Linked DNA regions of Arabidopsis thaliana. The protein of the gene in region 2 interacts with the protein of the main gene of each other region in a biochemical or structural test. Each region holds a gene or a part of one and is shown on either strand. Other genes may lie near its edges.

The links.
Region 1: of the proteins of ACS4 (region 2) and XBAT32, one has a biochemical effect on the other in vitro, tested with the Arabidopsis thaliana proteins (one study listed by BioGRID).

The regions. Positions count from the first base shown.
Region 1 is NC_003076.8:23,393,945-23,399,420, forward strand, and holds XBAT32 (uncharacterized protein), read right to left. Parts: upstream 3,707-5,476; 5' UTR 3,202-3,706; coding exon 3,007-3,201; intron 2,907-3,006; coding exon 2,847-2,906; intron 2,765-2,846; coding exon 2,693-2,764; intron 2,594-2,692; coding exon 2,427-2,593; intron 2,336-2,426; coding exon 2,175-2,335; intron 2,064-2,174; coding exon 2,005-2,063; intron 1,915-2,004; coding exon 1,868-1,914; intron 1,774-1,867; coding exon 1,624-1,773; intron 1,536-1,623; coding exon 1,444-1,535; intron 1,369-1,443; coding exon 845-1,368; 3' UTR 641-844; downstream 1-640. UniProt on the Arabidopsis thaliana protein: E3 ubiquitin-protein ligase that mediates ubiquitination of ACC synthases (ACS). Negatively regulates ethylene biosynthesis probably via ubiquitin-dependent degradation of ACS4 and ACS7 enzymes.
Region 2 is NC_003071.7:9,717,046-9,721,914, reverse strand, and holds ACS4 (1-aminocyclopropane-1-carboxylate synthase 4), read left to right. Parts: upstream 1-2,320; 5' UTR 2,321-2,442; coding exon 2,443-2,589; intron 2,590-2,691; coding exon 2,692-2,823; intron 2,824-2,890; coding exon 2,891-3,051; intron 3,052-3,139; coding exon 3,140-4,124; 3' UTR 4,125-4,313; downstream 4,314-4,869. Other genes in the region: AT2G22820 (uncharacterized protein), read left to right, coding at 490-684. UniProt on the Arabidopsis thaliana protein: 1-aminocyclopropane-1-carboxylate synthase (ACS) enzymes catalyze the conversion of S-adenosyl-L-methionine (SAM) into 1-aminocyclopropane-1-carboxylate (ACC), a direct precursor of ethylene.

The sequences.
Region 1 (5,476 bases), on a different chromosome or scaffold from region 2:
CCATTAATTTTATCCTCTTATTTCCCTATATAAACACAAACTTCACCTGCCCTCTCACATCATCACTTCAGAGCAAAAGCATCATATATATCATTCCTCTTCTTCTTGATTAGGATCATGATGATCATCATCATAATCATCATGATATTTATGATCATAATGATGATCGTTTCTCTCTTTCAACTTTTTCTATCTTCTCCACTACATCATGGTTGTACTTTCGAACGTGTGACTATCTCACGGAGAAGAAGATTTCTTGGACATTAGTGTTCCATTGGCATTATCCTCGCTGAGCTTTTTTTTTTCTCTATGAAAACAGAAAAAAACAAAAAATAGTTTTGTTTCTACTAAATCAGAAAGTTCTTCTATAATTTAGAAGATTTTTCTTGACCTTGCAAGGCTTATTAGTTTTGTATTGTTCTTTTATTTTCTTTTATCTTCTCTTCATTTTTGTATTTTATTTTGTATTGGTTTGTTGTTTCTATTCCTCCTGAGCTTTATGTATAATTCACTACTAATCCCATAATTTCTCAGTTATTAGTTCCTCTGAAACGTCTATCTAAATATATGTAATCTTCGTTTATCTGTTAAGTGTTTGATAAGTGATACCTTAACGATGCTAATGGCTACGCAAGAAATTCACTCTCAAACATAATTTTATATACACACCATTTCAATGTAATGGCAAGGCCAAATTAATTATTTGTATTACAACATTTTCACTTATTACAAAATGAATAATCACCACACCATTCACAGAATCAATTAGCACATTTTTAATCCCAAAAAAACTGGGATCAAAAATTTTATAAAAAAGGTGAAAAAAAAGAGGATTGAGTTTGAGTTAGCAAGCACTTCCACCGGTTGTAACACAATGGTTAAGTGCAGAAAACCAAGAACGTTTCCCTTCAACCTGCGACGTTGATCGCCTGAATCCTACACCGGATCTTGAATATGATCCACCAATTAACCGGCTTCGAGGTTCATCAACATCTGAGCCACCAAGGCAGAGACTTGGAGGAAACCGGCGGCAGCTAAGAGACCGAAACGCTGATGATCTAGCGGATTGTGGAGTTCGAGAACCCGTTCTTGACACAACCGGTTTACAACTGTAGTGAGGGTTAGTTAGGAGAGCTGTGTCTAAGACATCAGAGGAGCAAGTGCAGAAGGACAAGGAGATGCTTGTTCTTGATGATGTTGATGTTCTTGTTGTTGCCGTTGTATGGGGAAGTTTGGTGAAAGATACAATGCCATTGCGACAGAGAGGACACGGGACAGAGCCTGGTGTGACGTTTGAGGTCTTTGACGATGTTATGCTTGTGGTGCTTAGGTATAATGCACAGTTTGTGCAGAACTCATGAGCACATCCTGTTATGTCACACACAACAATCAATTCAATGTTTTAAGCAAAGATCATTTTCGGTAGTGAAAGTGGTACATTACCATCTGCTGCCACAGTGCATTTTCTTTCCAAACAAACGGCACAAGGGTCACGACATGGAGTCAGACAATCGTTTTCTCGCCAGCCGCATTCTCTGAAATCCACAAACGAAAAAAGACCAATCAGCCACAGAGATCATGCGATCATATAGGGTGTTTCAGTTAGGTGTAAAGTTTACATACTGAGCAATATTGACAATGCTCATTAAAGGAAGGCAGAGGAAAGGAGAGGGGACATTTGGCAAATGGAGTTGTGGTTGTTCTGTTGTTGGGTTCAGGATTTCTTCCAGCCAGTTTCGGTGCCATGAACGAGCTACCATCATTGGTGTCCATCTAAAACCAAAACATGAAGCGAATTAAGACATTGAGGTCTATATCAAACTGGTTGATTGGATTTAGCATGCTGAGAAATAGAGTGATCTAATACCCGTTGGAGTTTACGGCAGCTAAACAAGCACCCTTACTGATCAAAAGCTGAGAAAAACAAATGCCAAATGAATTCATATGTGAACTTTAAACGAAACATAACAGAAGCATCATGATTGTCTAGTTAAGCATGTATACCTGGCAACACTGCGTGTTTCCACCACATGAAGCATAATGGAGAGCTGTACTCCCAGCACCTTCAATATATAAAATCAAAGAGCCGGAGCGAAAAACAAAATTAAGTCTTTCACATAAAGAATCTCTTCACTCATTGTCAAAGTTAATCAATTAGAGCATATGATAGTAACCTATAAGATCTATAGTAGTTCCATCTTCCACAGTGACCTGAGTAACCGAAGCTCCCAAATCCAAGAGTAACTGCACCGTCTCTATATGTCCGTTCAAAGCCGCCACATGAAGAGGTGTGATTCCACCATCTGCTGCTCTGTTGATCACTTCGTGAAGAACACTACAACCACAACATCCAAAGAACACATTCAACTAATCATCATCAAGTGACTACAGCATTACCTCAATTCTTTACAAAAAACACTTTTGACCTAGAATCGAATCCAGCAACTGAAGTTTTCTTATTCTTTAAAAGGCTCCAGCAATTAGGAACACTTGGTATATACTCCGAAAGCAAGATCCTGATACACCGAGGGTGACCATTTAAAGCCGCAAGGTGTAAAGCAGTACCACCATTTAAGTAATCTGATCTGTGAATCTAAAACCCGAACAATCAAGAAACACAATCATCATTGTTCCAATATCCCTGACATATTTTTAAATCACAATCAGTCAGAAGAGTTGATCAAAGTCTTACATTAGCACCAAAAAGAATCAGAATCAAAACAACCTCCCAATGACCATGTTGACAAGCTTGCATCAAAGCCGTCTGTTTCCAAAAATTTCTTGTATTCAGACTACTTCAAAACCAATCAATAATGCAAAGAACAAAAAGACACTAATCACAACACCTGTCCACGGTAGTTCCGGAGATTAATATCAACTCCTGATTCCACCAACAGAGAAACTATCTGAAGATAAACAAAACCCAAATCACCAATCACCATAAAAGTCAGAACTTTAGAATCTCTAATCTTACAAAGTATTGATCTTTCAAGTAATTACAGTTACCTCGTGGTGGCCTTGAGCGGCGGAGTAATGAAGAGGAGAGTTACGAACGCCAAAAGTAGAGTAACGAGCGAGTCTTGGATTGTAATCTAAGAGAGCTTTAGCTTCCTGTAAATCACCGTCTCTGGCCGCTGATACTAAGCGTTCGCCGGACGCAGAACAACCGAATGAGTTTCCGACGAGGCTTAGAAACCTCATCGTTTTACGATACAAAATTGAAATTTTGATCGGATCAACCCTAACAAATCACCATCAACACAACAACACGAACAAATTTTATTGGATTCACAATTTGCAGCAAACCCAATTCGAGAACCAGCTCGGAAGAATCGAAGAATTGAATTTAATTTCAAATGATTGCAACAAGAAAAATTTGGTTTTTATTTTCTTCCTCTGTTTTTGTTGTTGTTGGTGTTCTTTAATTCTCTTATGTACAGATCAGATCATCATCATCATCATCATAATGATCCCTCTTTAAGAAAGAAAGAAACTTTAAAGAATTAACCAAAAAAAAATCAAAACTTTAAAAGAATTGACCAAAAAAAGCTTTAAACTTTAGAGGAAAGATCATCCAGAAAACTTCTCTGACAATTGTAATACAGAGAACATCAAAAAGAATGGTGAAATTAAGTTGTGGGATTTTTTTTTTGGTCAATTGATTAAGGAAAATAACAAACAATAATAACAAATTGGTGATTACTTTATTTTTAAACCAAAAATGGAAAAGAATTGTTCTAAATTTTTTATTGTGTGTGGAGGATCTCTTAATATTTTGTGATGGTGACACTAATTAATTGACTTTTAATTATTTGAACAAAAAAAAAATATGACAAAGCCAACGTTGTAGCCAGAGGTTTCGATAAACCAATAGCCGGAATTCGCGCGTTTTTTTGTTTTAACCAAAATCTTAATGATTATAAAGATTCTCTAACAATGAAAAAAAAAAGACATTCTTCATCACACCATAAGAAAGCTTTCTCCTTTATTACATATAATTAAATAAATAATCTTACTATACTGCGTAATTGAATAAATATAGGTTCTTTTTGTGCCAACAAATAATGATTCAATTAGCAAGTCTCCAAAAGTAACATGACATTAGTGGAAAAACAAGTGTATAATAATGAAATGTGGAGGAGCATGTGGGTCGTGTCACGTCATGCTTATAATTGCATTTGCATTAGCAAACCTATAACATTAATGACTTCAAATTTTAACATTAGCAAATCAGAATGATCATGCCAACTCTCAGCAAATATATTTATCAAAAAAACTCTCAACAAATATTACTTGATTTTAAAGATGACCCAAGCTATCTTCAATCTCACTTTCTGTAGAATCACTAATTTGTGTCTCACAATTGTGCAAAACTGTGGCCAGTTGCTGTAAATTGACAGAAAATTCTTTAGTTGACAATTTGTCTTGTACTTTGGAACTTGTAGCAGAGTTTCTTTGTCCAGAGTTAACACTATCCAAACTAAACTCCAACTCCCAAACTGGATGTACAAGCTTAAATCTCCACTTGTGCTTTATGTGGAACTTCTCCACACCAAAAATGAGTTGTGTAATTCAGTCTGAAACATGTCCACTATTCCACATCTATGTTCTCTCGAGTCCACATCACACAATCAAGTAGGTGCATGTGCACATGTTGGAACCACAAACACAACACCCTCACTGTCCTAGTGTTTTGTAAGAGAGAGATGTGAAGTAGTCTAGAATGTCTCATCAAGTCGTCCTCCAAATGTAACCATATATCCTCACCTTCTGTACACATTTTCAAAATAGCTGCAATGGAAAGTGAAGTTCCTGAAAAGTCTAGAGTATAACCAGCTCAATTTTGACTTTCTGATATCCTTTGTTGAATGGCCAACTCCATAGACATTAACACACACTCATAGTTTGGCTTCATAGTCTGCTTTGACAAGCCAGATCCAGACTTTTGAACATTAATTCTCATTCCTTCCCATGCACTGCTTCAATTTCGCGAGAAACATCTTGCATAAGCCTATGTCCCAAAAGTTTCTTCAAGTTCTCAAACAACATGCACTGCAGCTTTCTCGAATTCCACCTCACAACAGAACTTGTTTTTTGTCATTTTGATCTCCTCTAAGCTAAATTTAAACTTGAATTTCCAAGCTTTAGGGAACTTCATATGGTTCATGTCTCTGACATACTGCATCATCCTCATTTTGCACCTACTGTTCCAGCTTCCCTTGAGTCTTTTTATGTTGTTCTTGGTATAGCCCTCTGCAAATACGCATGCTTGTAATTTTGTCAGGCTACTTTTTTTCTTCATCTCGTTGACAAATCTATAACAGATTCTGTTAAAGTGTCTGTCTTTCGTTCGTAAGATCATTACGTTCATATAACAATATCTTTGATGCTTGTTTTGTTATTCCCAATTGTCTTGATTAACGAAGAAAAAAACGAATCCTTTTAATTTTTTCTCCTCTGTTTGTTAATCCGTTAC
Region 2 (4,869 bases):
ATTGTATTAAACAAGGTAGTCAAGGCTTAAAGAAAAGCCCCGCGATTACAGAAACGATTTAGGCCCAAATAAGCCAACAGAGAGTCTTTCACAGAAGAAGAAACTACAGTTTGACTCTATCCAAACCACATGTCGATATATTAATACACGTGTCAGATGAGTACTCTAAAGCGAACCGATTTCATCCTTGCAGTCCGGGCACCGATTCCGGTGAAAGAATCACCGTCGATAGTCTCATCGAACATGGATCTTTTTGTTTTCTCACCAATAAAAAGCAATCGAGGCTCATGTTAAAGATACAACAGCTTAATGCTATGATAATTAGCAACGGAATCCACTTCTTTTCTTCAATTTCATTCTCAAATCTCTGCAAAGATTTCTATAAATCAAAACTCAAAAGAAAACAGATCGGATAAGAAGCATTAGAAAGCGAGATTGCTTTCACTCTATCACCAATATGTCTCATATGAGAATTATTAAAAGCAAAACATGAAAATTAAAAAAAAAAACAGAAGAAAAGTCGATCTACATCGACGAGAGAACCCAAGAGCCAGCCAATGCCGGTTATGTGAACAAGACGCTGCCGGACTAGAGCCAACCAACACCACTACTGGAGCCGGTGATGTCGGACAAAATATCCGAAAAGTCGGGACGGCTAACTACCGAAAAATATTCGGTCGATGAAACTTAATGTTTATGTAATGATTAATATGTTTCACAATAAATATTATCATTTTTGAATAAATTTTTGTTTTGAAATATTTATCGTTTTAGGATTCCAATATCGCTTTGATTAGAAATATATAGTTTGTTCCTTCTTATAATCAATAAACAAGTAATATGTTGGAAGTCCAAAAGCCAATTTATTGTTTGGGAGGTAAAATATCTGGACTTATTTTATAAAAATTCTGAATTTATTTTTGAATACCGTTTATAAATAAAAGAATGTTTTGTAACAACGACACTTTATTATTTAGGCGTGTATTAGAAATTTTTCTTTAGTTTGTGTGAACATCTTTACAGCCATATTTATATTGGAAATGCATTAAGGAGTTGTAGATTATAGTAGTAATTAATTGTTCATATTTAAGCCACAAAAAACATATGTTAATTAGCGGAAAGCATACCTCGTAAATGACATGTTTGTCTTAACTGTGAGCACTCACTTGGTGTTGTTAAGCTTTGAAAATGATCATATCAAAGTAAGCATTGTCGTAGTATATGTATTTCTGTTACTTTTCAAATCTTCCCTCATATTATATAGCCATTGATATCATAGAGGATGTGAGTTTTAACTTAATATTTACCCGTTTGAAACTAGCTATTTACTTAAATATGAATTATAATCTAGTTTAACTACCAAAAACATCATATGGGGACAAGAAAAAGTAATAAAACGTATGGAAAATTTTGTAGATGTTATAAATGGATAATTATTCAAGTGATAATCTATCACTTTGATCTTATCTCTTTATCCAATTTAATTACTTTGTCTCTAAGTGATTTGCTTCCAAAATCTAAGTGTAGTCTATCCTATTTCTATCTTATCCTATCATATAATCTTCTATATATATGTGAGTCCGATGTTGTAAAGCGTACGAGAGAGAGTAATGAAGAGTGAAGTGTTATATTGTTCTCTCGTCCACTTCCACTCTCTCTTTTATCTCTTACTTACTTCTTCGTAAGATCATTACATATAATAAATAATATTATTTATGTTTGTGTTATATTTAATAACAGTAAAAAGTTTTAAAACGTTGAAAAAATTAGCCGACATAGAATACAAAAGAGGGTTAGCATCGGGGGAGAAACGTGGACCAACATGATACACCCTCCAAAATAGTCCCCAAGTTGAAACATTGACATGTTTCGCTTTTTCTTTTCTGTGTATACTTTTTTTTTCTGTGGGTCACATTATTTAATATTTGTATACAAGCAGCTATTTTACATGGAGATTTCCTGTCGGTATAGCGTCCTCATTTCTCCATCGCTTCCACTTTTTTCCTATACTAATTTGATCTAATTAATTCATATGTCAAAACATTAAGAAAATGAAACTCGTAATTCATACTTGAATTTAATAGATTAATTAAAATGCTATTTATTGGCAAAATAAACTCGGTTTATATCTAAATTTTAGAATCACTAAAACTTTTTGCCCAAAAAAAAATAAAAATAAATCACTAAAACAAAAAACAATCAAAAGAAAACCCATGTTGGTAAATCGGATAATGAAAATAATTAGAATCCCCGTCCTTTGTGTATTTTGGCGTAGCATGAAACTATATAATAAACATGCATTCATTCTTAGACTTCTCGTAGCTTATCAACAACAACGCGCTCGATCTCTCTCAGCCTGTCTGACAACTCTTTCTCTAGTTCTAGAGTTTTCAATTTATTGTTGAGCCTTTTATTAAAAAAAAAAAAACAAGAACAAAAGAAATGGTTCAATTGTCAAGAAAAGCTACATGCAACAGCCATGGCCAAGTCTCTTCGTATTTCCTTGGTTGGGAAGAGTACGAGAAGAATCCTTACGACGTTACCAAGAACCCTCAAGGCATTATCCAGATGGGTCTTGCGGAAAATCAGGTAAACAAATATTATTCAACAGCATGTGATATATATATACTTATGTATATCATGACAGAGAGACTAATTTAAAGTATGTTTAATTTTATTGGATTTCTGTAGCTATGCTTTGATCTACTAGAGTCATGGCTTGCACAAAACACAGACGCAGCCTGTTTCAAGAGAGATGGCCAGTCTGTTTTCCGGGAACTCGCTCTCTTTCAAGACTACCATGGCCTCTCTTCCTTCAAAAATGTAAGATTATTAATTGTATTTATCAAATTTATTTGTAGGTTGCTGATCTTGCTCGAATGATTTTCAGGCCTTTGCTGATTTCATGTCAGAAAATAGAGGAAATCGAGTTTCTTTTGATTCAAACAACCTTGTGCTCACTGCTGGAGCCACTTCCGCAAACGAGACTCTAATGTTTTGTCTTGCAGATCCCGGTGACGCTTTCTTGCTTCCCACGCCATATTATCCAGGGTTAGTCCACTGTTTGCTTACACGTAAAATTTCCATCATTCCTACGAACTTGACTTAACTAAAACTCATGTTTATTTTTGTACTTCAGGTTTGATAGGGATCTAAAATGGCGAACCGGGGTTGAGATTGTACCAATCCAAAGCTCAAGTACTAACGGGTTTCGCATAACGAAACTTGCACTCGAAGAAGCCTACGAGCAAGCCAAGAAGCTTGACCTAAACGTCAAAGGAATACTCATCACCAACCCATCTAACCCTTTGGGTACGACAACAACCCAAACCGAACTCAACATTCTATTTGATTTCATCACCAAGAATAAGAATATACATTTAGTAAGTGACGAGATATATTCGGGCACAGTATTCAACTCTTCAGAATTCATCAGCGTCATGGAGATTCTAAAAAATAATCAACTCGAAAACACCGATGTTTTGAACCGAGTCCACATTGTTTGTAGCTTATCTAAAGATCTAGGCCTCCCTGGTTTTAGAGTTGGAGCCATTTACTCCAATGACAAAGATGTCATCTCTGCCGCTACAAAAATGTCAAGTTTCGGCCTTGTCTCCTCCCAGACACAATACCTACTATCCTCATTATTATCTGACAAGAAGTTCACTAAGAACTACCTTAGAGAGAACCAAAAACGGCTCAAGAACAGACAGAGAAAGCTCGTGTTGGGTCTAGAGGCCATCGGGATCAAATGTCTGAAGAGTAATGCGGGACTCTTTTGTTGGGTCGACATGAGACCTCTCCTTAGATCTAAAACGTTCGAAGCGGAAATGGATCTTTGGAAGAAGATTGTTTACGAAGTGAAGCTCAACATCTCTCCTGGTTCGTCGTGCCATTGTGAAGAACCGGGTTGGTTTAGAGTTTGTTTCGCGAACATGATTGATGAGACATTAAAGCTTGCTTTAAAGAGATTGAAGATGTTGGTTGATGATGAAAACTCAAGTAGAAGATGCCAAAAGAGTAAAAGCGAAAGACTAAACGGTTCGAGGAAGAAGACGATGTCAAATGTCTCTAACTGGGTTTTCCGACTATCGTTTCACGACCGTGAGGCTGAGGAACGATAGTCCGGTTTTTGTTTTGAAGTTCTTTTTTTTTGTTTCCCACACATTGCAAGTGATTCTGTAATTTTTTTTATCACGAGAGAGAGTGTAAAAAAATGGAAATGCAACGTGCTTACTCTGATCCTAGATTTTAGAAAACCGTTGAAGACTTCTTAGAGCAAGTCCATCGGCAGTTTTTAATGGGTTTCTAATGGGTTTCTAGCTAATTAAAAGTCCAAAATTAAATGAAAACCCAACTAAATAATTAGGATCCATCCCAATATTAGGTTTTTTGGATGGGTTTTTAGACGGCGACGTGGTCGACTGTGAGTCGTCGGAAAACAAAAAAAATCACAACACTCATGTTTTCCTTTTTCCTCTCGTTTTTCACTTTTTTGTTTTGTCCGACGGCCGGCGATTCGAATCGATTTGATCTCCGGTGTATCGAACATGAAATCGGGAGAGAAGAGCCAAATCATCGACGACTTGGTTCACCAATTCCATTCTTCGAACCATACTCATATAAGAGTTTCTTGGCTTCTCTCTAAAACTCTTCTAATTTTCTGATATTGTTGATTATACATCCTTACCCGGATGTGAAGCCAATGGCATATGCAAACAATGATTAAAAATGTTTTCTCTTCCTTTAAGCTTATCCAGCAACAGTTATTCTCATGTAGATTCAGTTTTTCCCTTTTTCAAATTTTTTTGTTTTAAAAACCCACTTAAAGATTCCACCAATGAACCATAAAATTTTCAAAAACTCTAA